Cricetulus griseus: one gene and its partner. The protein of the gene in region 1 purifies or fractionates together with the protein of each later gene. This does not show direct contact. Links are inferred from orthologs where the notes say so. Each region holds a gene or a part of one and is shown on either strand. Other genes may lie near its edges. The genes, in order: Phf5a and Snrpa1.

What was found.
Region 2: the proteins of Phf5a (region 1) and Snrpa1 purify together in Homo sapiens (affinity purification with mass spectrometry; 4 studies listed by BioGRID and IntAct, with this or other methods). This does not show direct contact. The link is inferred for Cricetulus griseus from reciprocal best matches to the Homo sapiens genes PHF5A and SNRPA1.

The regions. Positions count from the first base shown.
Region 1 is NC_048595.1:379,002,374-379,014,432, reverse strand, and holds Phf5a (PHD finger-like domain-containing protein 5A), read left to right. Parts: upstream 1-5,215; 5' UTR 5,216-5,305; coding exon 5,306-5,357; intron 5,358-5,931; coding exon 5,932-5,955; intron 5,956-6,481; coding exon 6,482-6,648; intron 6,649-10,098; coding exon 10,099-10,188; 3' UTR 10,189-10,720; downstream 10,721-12,059. Other genes in the region: Aco2 (aconitate hydratase, mitochondrial), read right to left, coding at 4,536-4,571.
Region 2 is NC_048596.1:131,200,891-131,211,809, reverse strand, and holds the end of Snrpa1 (U2 small nuclear ribonucleoprotein A'), read left to right. Parts: intron 1-2,949; coding exon 2,950-2,996; intron 2,997-3,182; coding exon 3,183-3,285; intron 3,286-4,010; coding exon 4,011-4,090; intron 4,091-4,459; coding exon 4,460-4,535; intron 4,536-5,136; coding exon 5,137-5,230; intron 5,231-7,308; coding exon 7,309-7,367; 3' UTR 7,368-7,581; downstream 7,582-10,919. UniProt on the Homo sapiens protein: Involved in pre-mRNA splicing as component of the spliceosome. Associated with sn-RNP U2, where it contributes to the binding of stem loop IV of U2 snRNA.

The DNA of each region.
Region 1 (12,059 bases):
GCACTGGTCTTAGGTTATAGAGCCATGGTGTTCTGATGCAAGGCAAAGTTTCACTGCCAAAGGGAAGCAGTACACTGCCAGTTGCTGCCCTCAGGTTTTGGAATCAGGAATTTGCAGATCCAAATCACATTATATATACCAAAAAGTAGTGATAAATTAAGCATTTATCGATGGGGTGGGATGGGCATGGTGGCACACACCTCTAATCCCAGCACTTGGTACGCAGAGGCAGGAGGATCTCTGTGAATTTGAGGCCAGCCTGGTCTACATAGTTCAAAGACAACCTTAAAGCTACAGAGAAACCCTGTCTCGAATCCCCCAAAATAAAATAAAATAAAATAAAAAGGTAAGCATTTAATTATTTTAATGAGTATACAGAACTCTGACTGGTGTCAGATAGGGGTTTGAACACTTTACAACTGTTACTTGATTAAAATAGATATATTATGGTATTTAAAAGATGAGGATGCCAGGTGGTGGTGGTGCATGCCTTTAATCCTAGCACTCAGGAGGCAGAGGCAGGAGGATCTCTGAGTGTTCGAGACCAGCCTGGTCTAATGGTCTAAAAGAATGAGTTCCAGATAGGCTCCAAAGATAGACAGAGAAACCATGTCTCAAAAGAACAAAATAAATAAATAAATAAAAGATGAGGAAACAGGTACAGAGAGATGGAGTAGCTTGCTGAATATCAGTTACTTAGCAATAAGCCAGGATTTAAACCGAAACATTTTGATGCATGAATACATGATATTAGCCTTTATGGTGTATTTCCTTTCTGTTTCTTCACCTGAAACACTACCGTTCACTGGTCTGCCTTATCCCAGAGTCACAAGCAATTACTTAGTAAGGTAAATGCTAGCATTAATGGCAGGAGTGATACTAACCAATTCTGTAACCTTCCTTCATGTTTGGTCCAGCCAAAAGAAGATGCATAAATATTCAGGCTGAGAAAAATCTAAGGGTACATTAGAATATGGTAAACATTCCACAAGAACAGGAACTGGAGACTAGCAAGGTGACTCAATGGTTAAGATTGCTCTTTCAGAAGACCCAGGTTTGGCTTCCAGCACCCACAAAATGGCTCACAACCATCTCTAACTCCAGTTCAAGAGGGATCTGATTCTCTCTTCTGGGTTCTGTGAACACTGCACATATGTACATGGTACATATACATACACGCAGACAAAACAACCATACACATTAACATAAAATAATAAAACTTTAAATGCACTGGGAAGCCGGGCGGTGGTGTCGGAACACCTTTAGTCCCAGCACTTGGGAGGCAGAGGCAGGCGGATCTCTGTGAGTTCAAGACCAGCCTGGTCTACAAGAGCTAGTTCCAGAACAGCCTCCAAAGCCACAGAGAAACCCTGTGTTGAAAAAACAAAAAAGACAAACTAACAAAAAAATGCACTTGGAAAAAAACAAAAACAAAAAAACTGGGGCTGTCTTTTTACCAATTTTTCTGGCCATGGTGGCATGTGCCTGTACTCCAAGCACACAGGAGGCTAAGGCAGGAGAATTGAAAGTTCAAGGCCAGCAACAGAACACAGTAAGAACCAGTCTCAAAAACAGGACCAAAACAAGACAAGAAGAAAAACATGCTAGAGATTGACCAGACATAGCTACCAAAGTATTAACCATCACTTCTCAAATGCATGCAAGCATAGTTGAAAGATGTTCTCAGAGTACAGAGTCACGAGGAATTAGAGACAGTCTGGCTATCTGAGTGCAGTAGTATATTGCAAAGACCTTACTACTACTCATTCACCTTAGCTGAATGAATATGAGAGGGACTTTTATTTTAATCCTACCTCCAGCAGTCAACCCTGCCCTCAAGGTCTTAGATTCGTCACCAAGTGTAAAAGAGGTTGAAGTACATCATTGTGAACACATTCTAATTCCTCATAATTAAGTGCTCAATAAACATTTGTTTAATGAAGACCAATCCCAGCTGATAGACAAAGAACATAGTGTTGTGCCAGGTTCTCGGAGCCCAGAGACTAACCCAAGGAGTTGGCACTATGATGCAAAGTAAAAGGTTTCTTTTTATTTCAAGCTGGCCAGCTAGGATCTCACTGCATGGCAGGCAAATGAGATCCCAACCAGCTAAAAAGAGAAGCTTTTAAAGGGGCAGACCATAAGGTTGAAGGCCACAAATTACAGAGTTTCCAGGGTTACTTAAGGTCATACAAAGTACAGAGTTAGTCAGTAACTATACATTTTAAGGGAGATACATTTGAGTGAATAAGACAGGGCATGGGCTTGCAGGGTTACAGAGTCACAGGGTCTGTCAGTTATCCCCTGGGCTGGGGGATTTTTATGACCAGCAATTAGCAAAGGAATGTTAACAGGAATGGTGAATAGTTACCTCTCCTTTTCTGAGAGCTGGGAATCAGGTGCCAGTCATGGCACTCTTGATTTAAGGAGTTAAATTTTCCTTTATCATCAGATGTTCCCTTTTCAGGACCTAAGTTTTTAAATTTTTATTAATTTGAATTTTTGGTCCCTCAATAGAAAGTTACATTTACAAGGTCATGGGATCAGGGCAGGACCTGAACTATACCCCAGATATCTTTCTACACTCATACTTTCCAAATGTGACATTATACTTTTCTTCCAAAGTCAAAAGTCATTTATTCTATTTAATGATCTTTTTCTGGCTCCACTAAATCAAAGGTCAACAGGGTCGGGACAAAACTCTCCATATTATCTAAAGAATCAAAAGAACCGCAGAGATAATTTAGCTATAAATCCTTTGCCTAAGTCAAAATTCAAATGATTTGTTCAGATAAATGAAGAGTTTTATTTTACACTTTTTTTTGTTTGTTTTTGTTTTTCGAGACAGGGTTTCTCTGTGGCTTTGGAGGCTGTCCTGGAACTAGCTCTTGTAGACCAGGCTGGCCTCTAACTCACAGAAATCTTCTGCCTCTGCCTCCCGAGTGCTGGGATCAAAGGCGTGCACAACCACCACTCAGCTATATTACACTTTGATTTTAAGTAATGTGACAAAAAATAACATTGAATGATAATGCTTCCTGAGAATACAGCACATAACTTTTTGTTTGTTTGGTTTTTCTTTTTTTGAGACAGGGTTTCTCTGTAACTTTGGAGTCTGTCCTGGAATTCACTCTGTAAACCAGGTTGGTCTCGAACTCACAGAGATCTGCCTGCCTCTACCTCCCAAGTACTGGGATCAAAGGCCTGCGCCACAAAACTTTCTAAAATTAATTCTACATTAAAAGTTGTGCCACTTGGTCCAAAGAAGATTCACAAAAGTAATCAATGATAAAAGGTTACCAGAAAATGTCTACAGGTACTTTATTGCTTTATTTTTATTGACAAAATACATACTTTACAGTAAACTTAATATTATACCTTCCCGCCGGTCATTGGTGGTGCATGCCTTTGATCCCAGCACTTAGGAGGCAGAGGCAGGCGGATCTCTGTGAGTTCAAAGCCAGGCTCCAAAGCTACACAGAGAAACCCTGTCTCAGAAAACCAAAAAAAAAAAAAAAAAAAAAAATACACACACACACACACACACACACACACACACACACACACACAGTTGTCAAGTTGGGAGTGAAAAGCCCTCTGTCAGTCACACTTAACTTTCTAGATGTCTCGTAACAGTAGAGTCAAGGTCAAACTGTTGGGTCTTCTCATCTTTCCACCTAGTATCTGAAAAGCAACTGTGAATTTGAAATACTTTGTACTCTGACAACTACAAACGACCACACCCTGGTTCAGACAGTTCTGACATTAGGTTGCCATGAACAAGGAGAACAGAGGGTCAGCAGGGTCACTGCTCAAGCTATAGCACTATCGTGACACCGTGAAAGTCAGAACTTTCATCTACTTTTTTGCAGTTTTACTATCTATTGAGTTGGAAAAAAATCATCTGACATCTATGTTGCCAGAAATATGTAAATCAGGTTATATTAGTGAACAGTCTTGACATCTGGTGCAGAGAGGAACCACTGTTATCATGACTATGGACTATACTGGTGCTCAGAATACTCTACCCTTCTTGCATCTATGACCCCAGGTGTCCTCAAAAGGTAGTATTGGGTATAGCTTCTGCAGACTCCAGGCCCGAGAACCACACATACAAACGGCTGGCAAATCTCTGCTGTTAATGGGAAGTGAGGGCTTCAAGCACCTGGCTTAGAGGAACCCACAACCACCGCGCCCCCCAGTAACCTTGTCATCACCTTGAGAACAGAAAACCACACTGGGGGGAGCGGGCAATTCGGCCCTCAGGAAATGAGGGGTGCCCTCATCCTTTATCACACTGCGGATGCTTAGACTCAAGCTTCCCGCTGGGCGGGGACGGGGACTGGGCCTGGGAACTGACTGTGCCAGGGACACCTTGACCTAGGACAAGGCAGGAGCGGACAAGGACGCTGGGCCTGCAACCGGGACAGGTTCGCAAAAGTCAGCCCCAGGTTGAGCCCGCCTCGCGTGGCCTCGCCTACCGCCGCAGGCAGAGCTCCCCGCCCCCGTGAACCCACACATCGGAGCTCGCTCACCTGCAGCCGGGTCACCAGGAGGCTGTAAGGCGCCATTTTGTGCACTGACAAAGATGAGGTCGCGTGAAAGTGACGTGCCACAGGGCGCTTTTGAAGTGCTTGGGAAGGGGCGTGGCCTCCAAAGCGGCGCGTCACGGTGAGGGTGGGGCCTTCCTCCTCGGAGCCGGAGTCCAGAGAGCGCAGTGGGCGGGGCTTCCATGACGGGCACAGCGCGAGAAAGAAACTGCCAGCTTGTCAGTCTTTGCACTTGGGGACGGAGACGGCAGCGGAGCCAGGAGTTCAAGGTCATCCTTCACGCCTTGAGACTCAAAAGGGAACCCCCAGACCACATATTTTGCGGAAGCATGCGTGAGGCCCTGGCCTCAGCCCCGAGCACAAAAAGTACCATGTGTACAAAAGTTTTTTGCGAGACAGGTCTGGCTGGCCTCGAACTCAGAGATCCGCCTCCCGAGTGCTGGGACTAAAGGCGTGTGCTACCACCAACCAGCCATATGTAGGAATTTTATCCAAGACAAAAACACTTAGTTTATTCGTTCAAATCGGGAGGGAACAAAAACTTTATTATAAAGTCTTTGATGCACCTGCTAGGGGTCCAGCAAGTTCACGCTGAGAAAACTCGCGAGAACTAGCGAGATTTGGTGCAACGAAGGGCAAAAGCTGATGGGCACCTTGACGGCCAATCACGATGGAGAAGTGGGTGTAGGAACGGCGTAGGTTAAAGGTCGAGCGGAAGTTCTCTAAGCTTCCGGCCGCCGGCTTGGGGACGAGTGATGGCTAAACACCATCCAGATTTGATTTTCTGCCGCAAGCAGGCTGGTGTTGGTGAGTTGGCTCGCCGCTCCCTTCCGTTGGAGTGGGATGGTGTTAGAAACGGGAGAGTGGGGGGTTCGCTTCCTCTTTAGGGCCTGGCCTTGGGGGCTCCACGTTTCGCGCCTTGCGGTCCCTGGGTATTCTGGGGGTGCGCCCAGGTTTGTGACTTGTGATAAGAAGGCAGGATCGCGCGTCTGGGAGCCTGAAACTGGGGGCAGCGTCTGCGCTAGGTCTGGAGAAGCCGTCCCAGGTTGCTTTGAGGATTCCGGACAGGGCGCTGGTGCAAAGCAAAACTTAGGGGCTTAGGCCGGGCGTGGTAGTTCACGACTGTAATCCCAGCGCCTGGGAGGCTGAAGGCAGAAGATTGCTGGGGGTTCGAGGCCGACCTGAACTACATAAGAAGTTCCAGGCTATAAAACGGGAATCTGTTGGGAGGAGGGGCGTGGAGAGGGGAAAAAAAAGGATAATAAGACAGCTATTCTGCTCACTGTAGTCATTGCTACCTGCCCCATCCTCTATCCCAGCTTTGAGGAACAACTTCCTTGCTAAATCACCATTTTGATTTTAACTGTGTTTTTTCTTGCAGCTATCGGAAGACTGTGTGAAAAATGTGAGTGGAACATACCCTCTCACACATTGCCTTCTTTCTTTGTTTTTTGACGAGCCAACAAGCCATTTATTCCAGAGGAGCCCTAAAGAAGCATTGAGTGGATATGCCAGACTGCAAAGAACACTGAATCTCTGACTACAACCAAAGGCTCCCCACCAGACTCCCACTTTAGCTTGCATACTTTAATATTTCATACTTAGGTTGTGGGGGAAAAATACTTTTGGACAGTAAGAACTATCAGAGTAGTGTGAACCTTCCCAGGCCAATGTTTGTGCAAGAAGGCATGCAATTTGTTGATGATAACTACATAGACTTAAAAGCTCCTAGCTAACACGTCAAAACTCTTCCCATTTATATTTTGAAGGAAACTGAGGTAGATGGTAGATATAAGATAGGGTGGATGCTGTCAAGATAGAGAAAAGGCCTGAAGTCACAGTCAAAGGGAGACTGGTTATTTCACCCATAGAATAAAGATCTTTAGGAAGTAATCACTAGTGAATATAACTCCATTCCTCTTCCTTTGCAGGTGATGGCAAATGTGTGATTTGTGACTCCTATGTGCGACCCTGCACCCTGGTTCGCATATGTGATGAGTGTAACTATGGATCTTACCAGGGCCGGTGTGTGATCTGTGGAGGCCCCGGAGTCTCCGATGCCTACTATTGTAAAGAATGCACCATTCAGGAGAAGGATGTGAGTGTAGACTTGAGCATTCCCTCCTGGCCTTTCTTCCTTTTTCTTTGGACCATTTTGCCATCCATGTCCATCTCTTCTGGTCTATGGAGACTGCAATGTTCAGCTAGTCATGTAGGTAGAGGTTATTATCATCCTCCTTTTATACTCTGTCCCAGGCTATCTGACTAAATCTGGTGTCCACATTACATCATGTTATGCTTCTCTAAGACCTTCTTGGTGTGTGCTCATGATGAAGAGAGCACCCAGCCTCCTCAGCACTCCACATGTGGATGCTACCTACCACCAGTACCCGAAGCCAGATAGGGCTTTAAGGAGGGAGGGGGGTTGTTCTACGTGGTGCGGAAGGTGATCTATGATAGCTGCATTTTCAGTTTTGATTGACTTTATCATCAAATCTCAAATCGGGTCTTACCACATCCAGCAGATATTGATTGGGGAAGCCACATTTAGGCATTAGCTAGAGTTCCCAACTGAGAGCTTTTTCTCCATGGATGAGCTCCAGGCTTTTCTTACTGCCTGCATGCAGTTTATGCCACAGGACATACAAATGATTCCTGTTGGGTATATCCTCACTGTTCTCAGTGCTGCAGAGTTTGGTTGTGTTTGGTTTGGTTGAATTTCTTTGTTACATCTATTTGTGTGGGTGCATGTGGTATTAAGAGGACAGCTTGCCTGGAGTTGGTCCCACACACACACACACACACTAGTGAGTATTTTGGCCCACTAATACTTTTATGTGCTTACTGTTTTTCCCTGTCCTTCTTAGAGAACCAGATTGGTGCTTGGCCCAGAATGGAGTTTTAGAGCAGCTGAAAAGTATTGTTTACTCTGTTGAATCCACTATTGTTTGGGAAAAGGGGAATGTTGTTGATTAAGTATGAAATCATAATTTCAGTTGGTGGTTTGAACATTCTCCTGCCCTAAATGCTCTTTCCAATTCTTTAGACAACCAGAACTCGATTGTATTCTGTCTTCCACAGCTGTGGATTATGTCCTCCATCTTTCCTTTTTCTCGGGTCTTGGTAATAGTGCCTAATCTGTAATACAAGGATGGTGCTCTCTTTTTGGTACTGTGCCTATAAAGTGTTCCTGGGAGACACTCCCCACCCTGGGCATTTGTTATTTAGGAACTGGGAAGTACTGGGTGTAATGGAAAGAGGAGGGACACACAGTTCTCAAGCTAAAGGGTCCCTGAAGAGACAACACTTTCTTGAGCTTTCAGAAATGTCTAGAGTCTGTTTCTGACTTAAGCTTGGAACCAGAGGATGCTTGCTAAACAGTAATTGCCATCTCACTTGTCTGCATGCGCCCTGTGATCTGATACCTTTGGATCCCTGCCCCTCATTCTGCTCCCTGAGAATTATTTTGGACATCACTTCACCTACTTGCCATTATACAGGAACGTTCTGAGGACACCTGAGCTCAAGCTCACAATTACTCAGCACTAGTTTCCAAGGGACACAAAGCAGTCCTGTGACGTGATCCAGCCTCTCACCCTTACAGACAGAGGATCATGTAGATGGGGTGCCCAGGCATTTTCCTGTGCAGAAATCTTCCTGCAGCAAAAGCCACCCCCCCCCATTGTTCTCCTCTTCCTGTAGCTTTTATTATTTATAAGGCAGTTAATTAGGCCAGTAAGCTGAGCTGGGTATCCTCATTTGTACTTTTTCAAAACCTCAAAAATAATCAAGAATCAGGAGTTAGGCATGGTGGGGCATATCTGTAATGCCAGCACTTGGTATGCTGAGGGAGGAGAATTGCCAGTCTGGGGCCAGGCAGTGGTAGTGCACACCTTTAATTCCTGTGCTTGGGAGGCAGAGGGATTCGGGTCTCTTTGAGTTTGAGTCCAGCCTGGTCTATGCAGAGTTCCAGGATGGCCAGGGCTACACGGAGAAACCTGACTTGGAAAAACGAAAAATAAAAATAAAACCAGTCTGGGATACACTATCTTACAAATCATTGAGTCTACCAGGTCTCACCAATATCTTTAAATCTTGGTTCTGGAGGACTAATTTGTATATTGTTATGATATGACAGCAAGCAAATCTCCCAGATCCCAAACAGAATAAGAAAAATTACATTTATGGAGTTTAAAATGTATTTTTATGCCGGGCTGTGGTGGCACACACCTTTAATCCCAGCACGAGGGAGCAGAGGCAGGTGGATCTCTGTGAGTTTGAGACCAGCCTGGTCTACAAGAGCTAGTTCCAGGACAGCCTCCAAAGCCACAGAGAAACCCTGCCTCAAAAAACCAATAAATAAATAAAATGTACTTTTATTTATTTTTGCAGTACAGGGGTTGAACAACCCAGTCCAGATTCCCTGTAATAGCGGCCAGTCCACTGAGCCATCTCTTTCGAACCCACAGTTTTCTAATGAGAAATTAAATACTAAGGAATACGATAATGTTGGCTAGGAGTGTACTGTAAGTTGCAGATCGTTCTAATGTTGGAGATAGAAGACAGTATGAATTGTCCTGATGGGAGATGCTTGGTCTAGTCCATGCATTTCCTCTAACCATTTCACTGTCATTTCTCAGGCTGAGAAACATTTCTTTGATTTGTTGTCTTGCCATTTCTACCATTCTCATTTAGTTTATCTTATTTAGGATAACTGGAAAGGTGAATAGAACATTAACCCAAAAGCTATAAAATGGTCTTTGAGGGGCTGGCAGGCCTGCCCAGTAAGTACAGGCCTTTATTGCCAACCTGACAACCAGGCCTCAGAACTCCGAACCTCCAGTCTCTGTGCTCACACCATAGTATGCATACATATATGCATACTAAATCAATTTTAAATTGTTTTCTTTTTTTTTAATTAAAAAATGGTTCTGAAAACTCATAAAAAGCTGGGCTATGATGGTGCAGGCCTTTGATCCCAGCACTCAGAAGGCAGAGGCTGGTGGATCTCCGTGAGTTCGAGGCCAGTCTGGTCTACACAGCTAGTTCCAGGACAGCCTCCAAAGCAATACAGAGAAACCCTGTCTCGAGAAACAAAACAAAAAAAAGTACAGAAGACACTGAGTGATCTTGGGTACCTCCCCCAGTTAAGTAAATGGAGGTGTTTTATAGGGCAAAACCACACTGATTATATGGTGGTGGTGGTGGTAGTTTTGGTTTTGGTTTTGGTTTTGGTTTTTTTCAAGACAGGTTTCCCTGTGTCGATATCCTGGAACTCACTCTATAGACCAGGCTGGCCTCAAACTCAGAGATCTACCTGCTTCTCCCTCTTCCTGCTGGGATTAAAGTGTGTGTTGCCACCACCCCTTGGTTGGGATCTTTTAAAATTTCTTTTTTGTTGTGAGATGTTGAGGATTAGACACAAGCCCAGTCTATAAGCTGTAAGCTCTCAGGTGACAAGTAATGCTTTTCATGCTCCTGAGCTAAATTTTATCTTAAATCTCTAAAGGCAATTTCAAGGACTTAACAACTTGGTTCTGTTTTTCAGAGAGACGGTTGCCCAAAGATTGTCAATTTGGGGAGCTCTAAGACAGACCTGTTCTATGAACGCAAAAAATATGGCTTCAAGAAGAGGTGATGGGTGAGCAGCTCCTTCTCCCCCATCAAGCTGCTGCAGCTGCCAGAAAAGACACCTACTACCACCAGCAGAAAGGGACCGAAGCCCAGCGTGTCACCAGAATAGCCTGCTAGAGCTACTGTCTTGGCCCCCTGCCCCTGTCTTTCCCTCACCATTCTGGTGGGGATGGAAGAGAGGTCTTCACAGAGTACTCTAGCAGACTGGAAGAAAAATTGCTAGCTTAATTCATAGTTTGTTTGTTCTAGTTGGAAAAACGAGGCTCTGCCCTCTAGATTGATAGATTCTCTCCACACCAAAAGCTTTGAAATGAGTCTTCCGTCTGCGGCCTTGACAATGAAGCTGCCGCAGGCAAAAGCATGGCCTTCAGCAGCTATGATGGTGGTGGTCTTCTGTGACCCTCAGTGTGGCCAGGAGCCATCAGAACAGTAATGTGATGTGACACTTCCCAGGTGGTGCTAGCTTCATGTTATTTTCCTTCTTAGAAATTGGAAATTTCTGTTGTTCTAATAAAGTTGGTGTGTATTTTCTGGTAGTTGGTTGGTTGCCTTCCACATCACCTTTGAGAGTCTACTTTGTAGTCTTCCAGGATTTGGTAAGTGAAACCATAATAGAGGCTGTGGGGTCGAGGAAGTGCCTTGTCCTATTTCTGACACTGGGAAAAATTCAGAGGCAAGTGGGCATTGGTGGCTCACGCCTTTGATCCCAGCACTTGGGAGGCAGAGGCAAGCAAATCTCTATGAGTTTGAGGCCAGCCTGGTCTACAGCATTCCAGTACAGCCTCCAAAGCTACAGAGAGAAACCCTGTCTTAAAAAACAAACAAAAAAACCTCAGAGGCCACCTATGCCTTTTACTGTGAGTGAAGGAGTTGATTTTAATTTTAATTTTTAGTTCCTATCCACCTTTTTTTTTTTTTTTGTTCCTTTTGTCTCATTAGCTCAGGCTACCTGGACATTGTTGTAATTCTCCTTAGTCAGAGTGCTGGCATTCCATATGTGAGTGACCATACCTGGGTTTTCTAATTCTGACTTCAAAGAGATATCCTACAATAATGGTGAGGAAAATATGATAAAATTAATAAATTAGAAAATGATGTTTCATAAAATACATATGTATTTGTATGAAGGGATGTTTCCTTTTAAAAAATGTTAAAGATTTTGTGTATGTTTGTATAAGTACTCTGCCCGGTCCCTGCAGAGCTCAGGGCATCCTATCCCCTGGAGTTAGAGATGAATGTGAACTACCATGTGGGTGCTGAGAATCAAACCGAGGTCCTTTGCAAGAGCAATAAGAGCTCTTAACCACTGAGTCGTCTCACCAGCCTTAACAAGTACCTTGTAAGTAAACTCAAAACTGGAAAATTTAGCCATGGGTCAATACATTTCTGCCTACTGATGTGACAGTTTTCTGGAGTGGGTATTTCTACATGTTTAGATGTATTGTTAAGTAGATCTTTAGTGCCATAGATCTGCGTCCTGAGGAATCTATGTACTTGGCCTTAGTAGCAAAACTGTGGCAAGAAATAATTTATTTTATGTGCATTGTGTTTTGCCTACGTGTGTGTGTGTGTGTGTGTGTGTGTGTGTGTGTGTGTGTGTGTGTATGTCAGATCCTCTGGAACTGAAGTTATAAACAAACAGTGGTGAGCTGCCACATGGGTGCTGGGAACTGAACCTGGGTCCTGTGGAAGAGCAGCCAGTGCTCTTAACTCCAGCCCTGAAATAACTTTCTATTGAGGGTTTTGGTTTGGGTCAACAATAAAAAAACAAAGCTCTTGGTTATATATAATGTAATGAGTAGAGTTAAGATAATCTCTGTTTTGCTGGGCGGTGGTGGTGCACGCCTTTAGTCCCAGCACTCGGGAGGCAGAGGC
Region 2 (10,919 bases), on another chromosome or scaffold:
CTCAACAATTATTTTTTAATACAGTATTTTCATTCTTTTGAGAATTTAATACGTGTGTACAATGAGTTTTGGTCATATTCAATCTCAATTCCTTCCATACCTGCCTCCCACCTTCTCACAACTTAATTTCCTCCTCTTTTTGGTGAAACAGGATCTGTCAGTGGTCCTGGAACTCACAGAGCTCTTGCCTGCTGAGTGCTGGGACTAAAGGCATATGCCACCATGCTCCCCCACCTCCTTTAAAACCATCATGTCCTATTTGTCCTGGCCATATACTCTAGGGTATGGGGGCAGGCCATCTACAGGAGAAGGGTTGACCTATCAGGAGCCACACCCTTAAGGATACTGTCTCTCCCTCCCCCCAGTTGCCCCAACTGTGAAAAGTTCTTTCAGTAGAGGTGGGCACTTGTGAGCACCCCCCCATATCTGTCCTCCCCACCAGCCAGCCCCCTTCAATGCAAGAATATTGATTGGCTTGATCCTGTGCAGATGAGCTGTGAGTTCATGAGAGTGGTGGTTCGCCATATTCAGAAGACACTATTTTGCCTGGTCTTTGCACCTGGGGCTCTTGCAGTCTTTCCCCTTGCCCTTCCTCCTCAATAGTCTGAGCCTTGCAGAGAAGAGGTATGATAAACATGTCCCATTATGGCTCAGCCCTCCAGAAACATGCATTCTCTGCACTTTGGCCAGTCATAAGCTTCTTCATAAAGTACTCTCCATTCCACAAAGAAACCTCTCTGATGAGGTCCAGGAGGTAGATATTAGAGGGTAGTTTGATGCTATAATAAGAGTAGGGTGAGCTCTAGGGCCTGTGAGCTGCCCAGCCATGAGTTCTTAGCCAGATTTATTGTCCCAGGCATGCATTTCCTCCTGTGGGAATAGGTCTAAGATCAAACCAGAAAATGGTTGTTTGTATCATAACATTTGTGCCACCACTGCACCCATGGGTCACTGCCACAAGGTCGTTACTGAGCTGACAGTATTTACACCTGGGCGTGACGACGGTTGATGACATCTTTCCTCAGCAGCCTGCATAGAACTTCTGGAACTTTGAAAACTAGCTGGCTAGTAGGAAGCTTCCTGGTCAGTACCAACTTGATTTCTCATGTCCTGTGATGAAAATGTTCTGCCTTCACCAATAGGGTTTTACCATCAAGTTTGTGGTAGGCAGCCTACATCAGCTATTAGCCTATATTGTATTTTGAGACAGTCCCTTAACATGTCACCCAGGCTGACTGGTAACTCCATATGTAGCCTAGACTGGCCTTGAATCACTACAGTCTTCTTGCCTTAGCATCCCCAATGCAGGGATAACAGACATGAGCCACTACACCCAGCTTTAAAGCCAATGCTCTGTCAGCATACAGCTGGGGTGTAGAAGGTCCCAGCAGGGGCTCTTTCTGGAGTTAGTACCTTGGTGATACATTGTGGAATCAAATATTGAATCTAGAACCTTGTGGATGCCAGTTTAGCCCCCTACTATTCAACTACAGGCCTAGCTATTCTTTTTCTTAAACCAATCTGTTGTGTTATGTTTTTGCTCTTTTACTCTTTTTGAGGGGCCCAGTACCCAAATAAATATGCGGAGGCTTATTAGTTATGAATGCCCAGCCTTAGCTTGGCTTGTTTCTAACCAGGTTTTCTTATCTTAAATTGTCTCCCTTTTCCTTTAGCGCTTTTATCTTTCTTACTTCTGTATGTCTTTCTTTCTTTCTTACTCCGTGACTGGCTAGGTGGCTGGTCCCTGACATCCTCCTATCGTTGTTCTCTTGCTCCTCCCTCTCCCTTCTTTGTTTCTCCTTCTATTTATACTCTGTCTGCCAGCCCCACCTATCCTTGCCCCTGCCTTGCTATTGGCCTTTCAGCACTTTATTAGCCTATCAGGTGTTTTAGATAGGCAAAGAACAACAGCTTCACCAAGTTAAACAAATGCAGCATAAACAAAAGACATACCTTAAAATAGTATTTTTCCACACCAGTCAGCATGCTGTCATTGTGTTCTGTACTATGGATGTATAACACACTTTTTTATTCCTTTTGGATCCTTTTTTTAAAGAGTTTTATTTATTATGCATATTTATTATGTTCTGTCTTCATGTGTGCATCTGTGCCAGAGAGGGCACCAGATCTCATTATAGATGGTTGTGAGCCACCATGTGGTTGCTGGGAATTGAACTCAAGACCTCTGGAAGAGCAGCCAGTGTTCTTAACCTCTGAGCCATCTCTTCAACCTCCTTTTGGATTTTCTTTGTGGTAGTAAGCCACTTTTCAAGCTCTAGTTCTCCCTCTGTTCTCTGTTGTTACAATTTTTTGAACTATATTATTCACCTTGACTTTGAAAATATTTGAAGGGGTGGGGGTGGACTAAGATAACAGTGCTCCCTCTCAAAGATAATGTTTCCCGGGGCCATTTGGGATATACTAACAAGAAAGGACATTTTGCACCAGGTTTGGCGGCATATACCCATAATATCAACATTTGGGAGGATCGGGATTGAAGATCATCCTAGGCTGCATAGCAAGTTCAGGGCCAGCCTAAGCTATAGGAAATTCTGTCTCAAACAACAAGAAACCCACATATAGACCAAGGTCTTGGCTTGAGGTTCCTGTGTAAATAGCTTGATACAAGTAAGTTACCGATGTTGGCATTAATTTCCTTTTAAATCATTGCTTAGTAGTAGCCATTTTGAGGTTGTTATGGGAAATCAATTTTTTTTTCTTCTATTGAAACAGGTGCTGTTACTGCCAATACTTAACATATTCAGCAGTTTTATTAGGTGGAAGATATTTAGGCAGTTGTGTTGTATTAGTATTGGACTAGGTGCCAGGGCAGAAAAAAAATAAGTAAATGATAGTGTGGATACTGTTTCAAAGATACTTGTTATTTCAGAATATCAGAATAGTAGTGTGTGTATCAGCTTTGTTTTTACTCTGACCCTTATTTTATAGGGTGATCTGGATCCTTTGGCATCTCTCAAATCACTAACATATCTAAGGTATGGAAATCCGCTTGTTGTGATAACTCGACTAATGAAGTTCTGAAGTAACAGCATCAGGCTGCTACTAAACAGTAAAGTAGGAAGAATGGTGTGCTTTCTCTTGGTTTATAGTCTTTGCACTTTTCAAATGACCCTCTCAAGTGGAATGCTGTGAGTAAGATTGGCACTGTCCCTTTTCTATAGCATCCTAAGAAATCCTGTAACAAATAAGAAGCATTACCGACTTTATGTGATCTACAAAGTTCCACAAGTCAGAGTTCTGGACTTCCAAAAAGTGAAACTCAAAGTGAGTATTGCATACTGGCTGTGAGTCATTACAGTAGTCCTTTCCCTTAGCCTTTCATGACTGGTCTTTACAAGTTGCTTAATTAGTACATTTTACCATTAATGTGTGGGAAAGAAAGCATTAAGTCACCATTGTTTATTTTTTTTCTTGTGGGTTTTTTTGTTTTGTTTTCATCTCATAGCAGTTTATGGTAGGGTGATGTTGACCATTTCAAAGTTGGCCAAATGTGACCAGGCATTGGTGGCGCACACCTTTAATCCCATCAGGAGGATCTCTGTGAGTTCAAGACCAGCCTGGTCTACAAGAGCTAGTACCAGGACAGTCTCCAAACCTACAGAGAAACCCTGTCTCAAAAAAACAAAAACAAAAAAAAAGTTGCCCTAATGTTAGAACTACACAGTGCATTGTCTACTTAGATGTGTTCCCAACAAGAGCATATATAACCCAGATTTGAGCAGCTCTGCTTTTTAGAATAGCTGTTCCTTTGTTGGAAGTGCTAATTCTCTGTAGTTCCTTGCTAGTCCCTCTTAGAAATTAGGAAGGGGTACTTTTTGAGAGCTTTCCCCGAGAAGGTTGGACCACTGTGTCTCCTAATTTAAAGTTGGCTTTTGTTTTTACCAACCCAGAATACTTCAGGAGAATTCTCTCCCATGTTTTCTAAGGAATGCATCTAAATGCATGTGGTATTCCTTTTTTGATTAACTCTGTGTGTGGTGTCGCTGTAGGAGCGTCAGGAAGCAGAGAAAATGTTCAAGGGCAAACGGGGTGCACAGCTTGCAAAGGATATTGCCAGGAGAAGCAAAACGTAAGATACGGATATCCAACTTAACTCTACTTCACCTTCAGAAACACTATCTGTCTGGCAGTTTGCCTCCTACAAAATTAAACCCAAAACTGGTTAGTGTGGTATTACATTTGAATGATGGTGTACATCTTGGGAAATTTCTACCAGGTTAGCAGAGCATATATTTCGGTTTACCATCTTAATGTGGTGTTCATCCTGCTTTCTCTATTGGAAGATGGATTGGGTGGTGTTTCTGAAGGAGAGAGTGCTTGTATCAGTTTGTTAACAAAGATAAGATACTACACTGGTTGAATTACTTTCAAATCTTTTGAAAGTAAGAGAAGCAGCCTGCACTAGTCAGAGTGTAACAATTATATTCTCCCTCCCAAGTTTTAATCCAGGTGCTGGTTTGCCAACTGACAAAAAGAAAGGTGGGCCATCTGCAGGGGATGTAGAAGCAATCAAGGTAAGGATATGTATGTTTGGGTTATCAGACTGGAGAGAGCAGAGAGGTGGGGCCAGGGCAGTGGTGTGTCCTAGTGCTAAACATCGTAGATCCCATTATCTCATAGTTGTGAGGACTCTGCTATTTCTAGGCCCAGAAAGGCTACCTTAAAGATACTATTTGACCAAATTTTGACTTGAACTAATTGCATGAACTAATTGAAGGCATCTATGTTTATCTCTTTCACCCAGGATACATTTACTTCTTGGAGCAGTTAGTTACTTTGTTGTTCAGTCTTAGTTTCTCTGCTTCCCAAGATTTGCTGGCTGACAAATCCTGTTGAAGTATCTGTAGAAAATCCAAAAGTCTCCAGTAACAGAATTCCAAATAGATACTTAACTTGAATTTTAGGGCCCTTGGAATGATTGGTTCTTCTCCTTTGTAAGAGCCCGAATCCCTTCCTAAATGTTGGCGTGTTTTCTAAGTTGATTTTTCTTGCGCCAGTGAAGTTCTTCTCCCAGACAGTTGTGTGGTTGATTTTCTAGGGGAAAGTTGCTAGGAATTTCTGTAGTGTCTTTTCGGTGGTTGTAATCATCCATCTCCCTTTTCCTGTGCTTTCCAGAATGCTATAGCAAACGCATCAACGCTGGCTGAGGTTGAGAGGCTGAAGGGCTTGCTGCAGTCCGGCCAGATACCTGGCAGAGAGCGCAGATCAGGTCAGAAAACTATTCTGTGTGCACTTCCAAAACATCACACTTGGAATGACTACAGAGGAATACCTGTCTGGCATGATCACACAGGCCTGGAATCCCTATATTTGGGAGGATGAGGCAGGAGGATCAGGAGTTGAAGGTCATACTTGGCTACAAAATAAGGTTGAGACCAGCTTGGGCTACAGGCAACCCTTTTCTCAAAAAAAAAAAAAAAAGAGGAAAGGAAAAATAGGAAGGAAAGAAGTAGGGAGTGGGGGCCAATAAAGTTAGGCCATTGGGATATTTATGAGGTCTTTACAAGTTGTAGCAAAACATTCTACAACATGGAAAGAACAAAGTTCTAGAGATGATTGTGAACTTCTAAGTCACATCCTATATAATGGGCATCTTGGTGAACTGATATTCCATATACAGTCATCCCATAAAGTAACAGCTTAAAAATTGCTCTGCCTGGTGTTTTTACTATATGTTGTCTATGTGTAGATGCACAGCTACTTACCTTTGTTTTACAGTTGTCTACATTGAGAACAGTGACACGTTGTCTAGGTTTATAATGTCTTACCAGATAGGTAGTTTAATAGCTTTTACCGTCTAGTTTGTGTAAGTATGCTCTCATGTTCATCTTCACACACACACACACACAAATGAAGTCTCCAGTGATAAAATTCCTGGAGCAGAGATCCCTGTAAATTAGTGGTAATTTAGTGGTTAATGGAACTGGCTACACTGAGTCTAAGCAGTACTGTCCTTGGGCAAGTTTCTTTGTCTTAGGTGAGTATTTGCATCTTTAATATTAAGATAAGTACTGACATCAAAAGGTTTGGGGGAGGATTGTGATAATTACACTTAGCACAGGGCAAGTTTTGGGTAGGTGTTAACTAGTGTAATGTTTGAATGCCAAGTTTGTCAGCAATTTGAGCATTAGAGGTACATTATTCAAATAAAGTAAATACATAGTACAAATTTTGGTATGAGTATCCCTGGGAATCACTACCACGACAGCTTTTCAAGGATCATTGTCTTTGAGCTGTTTTGTTTGTTAGTTTTGTGGCCCATTTGTTTAGCCATGGTTGCTTTCGTTAACATGGGGCAGGGGTGTTTACTGGAGCAAGGGCAACTTACAGTGACTACACTACTGAAGAAAGTGACTTCCTACCTCAGCAGCTGTTCACTGCCAGTAGCTCCTCAGGAAGAGGATATAAGGTATTTTTAAGATCAGTGCTGTTATGTGGTCCTTGGGCCCCTGGGGACATGCAAGGTAAATTATTTCTGTAATAACTCCCAAGATGCACTGGGAGGCCAAGAGCGGGTTTTATTTTCCAGCAAGGAGGTCCAGTGATGGTACTTGCTGTGTTCTCCAGTAAAATTCATATCAAATCCACTCACTGTCCTTGATGAAGAAATAGAAATGGTTTTCTTTAGAACTAAATTTAAGTGCCTGAGCAATCCCCCGCAGCTGACAGTGTTTATTACCAATGATAAAATTGCAGATTTTAAGCAAAAATTAAGGTTTAGAAAATTTAGGCTGGGGATGTAAGTCTGGTAGAACACTGCCTAACACACATGAGACCATGGCTTCAAGCTTCACCATTACTAGAAAGACAATGTAGGTCCACTGGTAAAATGTTGACATCTTCCTAGTACTTACGAACATTTCCGGGGAAATGAGTATAAGGTGTGTGCTACCACACCTGGCATTTTTGTTTTGTTTCTGTTTTTAAGAATACATTGGCCAAAAAAAAAAAAAAAATAGTTTTGTTTTTTTGAGGCAGGGTTTCTCTATGTAGCCCTGGCTGTCTTGGGACTCACTCTGTAGACCAGGCTGGCCTCAACTCTGCCTCCTGAGTTGTGGGATTGAAGGTGTGCTACTACCACCCAGCAACCAAAAATCTTAAAAAAAAGAAAGAAAGAAAGAAAGAAAGAAAGAAAGAAAGAAAGAAAGAAAAGAAAAGCTACCACAGATTGTGGAACACAGTTAAAAACAGTTGGTGTGTTCGTTCACCTTTTTAAAAAATTAATGTGTATGTGTCTGATGAGTGGACAAAATTGACACGACTTCTGGTTTTGTGGGTTTTTTTCAGGGCCAAGTGATGATGGTGAAGAAGAGCTGGAAGAAGACACAGTCACAAATGGGTCCTGAGCTCTGTGGCAGATGGTCTAATAGGCTGTCTAGGGACAAGTCTTGCTTTTTGAGCATGGAGTAACAGCCTTGCTTGTATCAGCAACATGGAATTTGTCAGCATTGCTGAATGTTCAGAACTACTGCTGGTAATTTTTTTAATATGTACCTTGGAATCTAAATGCCAGTTTTCTACAAATGGTAAAATAAAGGCCACTTTCTTGCTGCCAAATTATCTGTTGTTATGTTAGCTGTGAAGTATAAGGATATATTTAAGATGGACGTTGGCGAGTGTCTTAGTTAGGGTTTCTATTGCTGCAAAGAAACACCACGACCATAAAGCAAGTTGGGGAGAAAAGGGTTTGTCTTACACTTCCATATCACTGTCCATCATTGAAGGAAGTCAGGACAGGAATTCAAACAGGGCAGGAATCTGGAGGCAGGAGCTGATGCAGAGGCCATGGTGCTGTTTACTGGCTTCCCAGGAGGACCAGCAGCCCAGGGATGGCACCACCCATCTTGGGCTGGGCCCTCCCCCATTGATCACTTACTGAGAAAATGCCTTACAGCTGGAACTCATGGCTGTATCCTATCTGATGACTCTAGCTTGTGTCAAGTTGACTCATAAAACTAGCCAGTACAGGGAGGATGGTGTTTCTGAATAAACATTACTTCTGACTATGAAGTGTTACAGATTCTTTATAAAGACAAGGAGGCTTAAGACTAGACAAATAGGTATATCCTTTGACCTTTTTAATTAAACACACAGGAGTATCTAACAAATTTTAAATGATTTGAAAAATCCTAAGTAGGAATTGATGCTACAACATAAGCAAAATAGTCTTCCAGCCTGTGGGGACAGAGGCTTGGGGTTGTGGCTTCTCTGTGGGGCACACTTCTCTTAGCATCTAGCTATCTTAATTATATTCCTCATCTAGGAAAGAGTTTTCTTTTATGGTTAAATATTAGTGCCTTGATTTCCTATTCTGCCTTGTTCCCTTGAGAGCAATGTCTCTCTCTGAGCCTGGAACGAGGCTGTCTGCCAGCCAGTTCCAACAGTCCTTGTCTCCACCCAACAAGGCTTGTGGGCATGCATTTGGACAGACCACTTTTTACCTGGGTGGTGGGGATTTGAACACAAGTACTCAAGCTTGCATAGCAAGCATTCTTGCCCACTGAACTATCTTCCCAGCCCCTGGTTACAGTTTTCCAAGCTCCTTTGGTAATTCTGAATATGACAAGCATATTAAATAGTCTCTAGATGCTTTTCATTGATGACTGATAACTGATCTTGTGAGGCATATACCAGATACCTGAGATACAGTGGAACTGCTCCCAATGGTCTTGCTGGGGTGACTGGCCAAACAGTGGCTTCTGCTGAGCCCCAGACTTAAATTTAGTTTCCTCCCATGTTGGATTGGAGTCTGGTTTGCAGTATCCTCAGTGAGGCTGGCTGTACTGCTCCCATAGTCCTTCTGTTCATGTACCAGCTCCTGTTGCTGCTAAGACAGGTGCTTCCCTCTTTTGGCTGGGTCTGTGGCTTGATGGCAGTCGTGCTAAGACTGCAAGACCCCTAGCACCAAATAAAAAGCCAAATTCCTATTTTCCATAGCTTCATTGAGTCCTTTTTATGGATGAGACTTGGTCAACAGTCCCAGTGATGACAAGCTGGTGTCCTGGGGTACCTTTTTCTTTTTCTTTCTTTTTTTTTCCCCCTCCGGTTTTTTAAGGCATGGTTTCCCTATAGCTTTGGAGCCTGTCCTGTAAAACAGACTAGGCTGACCTCGAACTCATAGAGATCTGCCTATCTCTGCCTCTGAGCGCTGGGAATAAAGGCATGCACCACCAGCAGCCTGGGGTAACTTGTAATTGCAAATTTTTTAATTAAATGTAGCTTAAGTTTGGAACCCAGGCCTGGGCAGCACTTCAGCATTTGAAAATGATGGAGGCTGCTGTGTATCTGGACTGAACAGAACTGTGTTTAGTATTTGAGGTTGTGGGAAGAAAACAAGCAAAACCAGCACACCATTGCATCATGTGCCGTTGTCCTGATCAAGGACTAAGCTGGCTAGAGGCAAGTGAGGCTTCCTCTTCCATATGTGTGTCTCAAGACCCAAATCATTGATGAGGTTCACCTCAATACATGCTATTTTCCCTAGAACCTAACGGTTTTCAGTGAATAGTTTCATAGACCATGAGTTTCATTCAGGCTACTAGTGTCCATGTTACAGCAGAAATGTATAGCAACTGATAGTCATGCCACACCTGCAAGAATGGGTCTGTGGAACTATGTTAAGATACTGATTTGAGATGATGTCTCACGTAGCCCAGGCTGGCTTTCAACTAGCCACAGAGCTGAAACTGGCCTGGAACTCCTAATCCTACCACCACCACCTCCCAGCAGCTAAGACTACAGGTGTGTCACCACACCTGATCTTGAATATTATTTATTCCTCTAGCATTTCTATATAATTGGTAAATGACCTGGTCTTGAGGCTTGACCTAATTGAATTAATGGATATGATTATAAGTCTTGATTAATGATTAACCTGAAGCTTGATCACTGGATCCACATGATAGAACTGATCTCCATAGTGTGTGTGTGTGTGTGTGTGTGTGTGTGTGTGTGTGTGTGTGTGTGTGTGTGGTGTTTTAGAAGACTTGATGCTCTCAAAATGACTTGGGTTTGATTCTCAGCACCAGCACTGCAGTTCACAATCTTCTGGAACAATTCCAGGGATCCAACACCCTCTTCTGGCCTCCATGAGCACTGCAGGTGTATGGTATAGGCATATGCAGGCAAGACACTTCTTTTAAAGAGTGTCCACAGAAAGAGGCTGAGCCTGATTTATGTTTGAACAGAACTGCCATTTTATTGCCTTCTCTGAGCTCTTAAGCTTCTCATACCCTTAGTCCTATGTAGTTGCTTCTTATCTTGTAAAATAGCAAGTTTTGGCAGTATGCCAGCACTACTGCCACATGATCTACAGGTTTGCATATTTGACTCTGCTCTTTATTTTTAATGTTTTTTATTGCCTTATATTAATTGTATATAACAATGGGTTTCGATACATGTATATAATGTATTTTAATCATACACACACACACACCTGTTACCTTCCTTTGTCCTTAGGATTATTTCCCTCTTCCAAGTTAGCCACTTCTTTTTTGTGTGTTGGACTTAGTGAGTTAGAGTTGGTTATGGGAACATAGGCACCTAACCAATAGCTACACCACTGAAGAAAATGTTTCTTACTCCGCCATTAATTAGTGAAGCCCTAGGGGGTCAGGTAGGCCCCTATTAGCATCTCTCCCTCTCAGTGGTAGGATGTTGAGGAGCCCAGTCTTGTGCAGATCTTGCGACATTGTGATCAACTAGAGTAGCTAGCTTTCTATGCCTAATTCTCCTTGGACAACTAGCTAAACTACTCAGAACTGATAACACTTCTGCTTAGTTGCCATTAACCAAAGCAATCTACCTGGCTAAATGCAGTGGATGGGGAAATTTACCTAACCCTAAAGGAATTGACTATAAGAAGTACCAGGACTGAGAAGTTAAAAAGCTAGGTATTT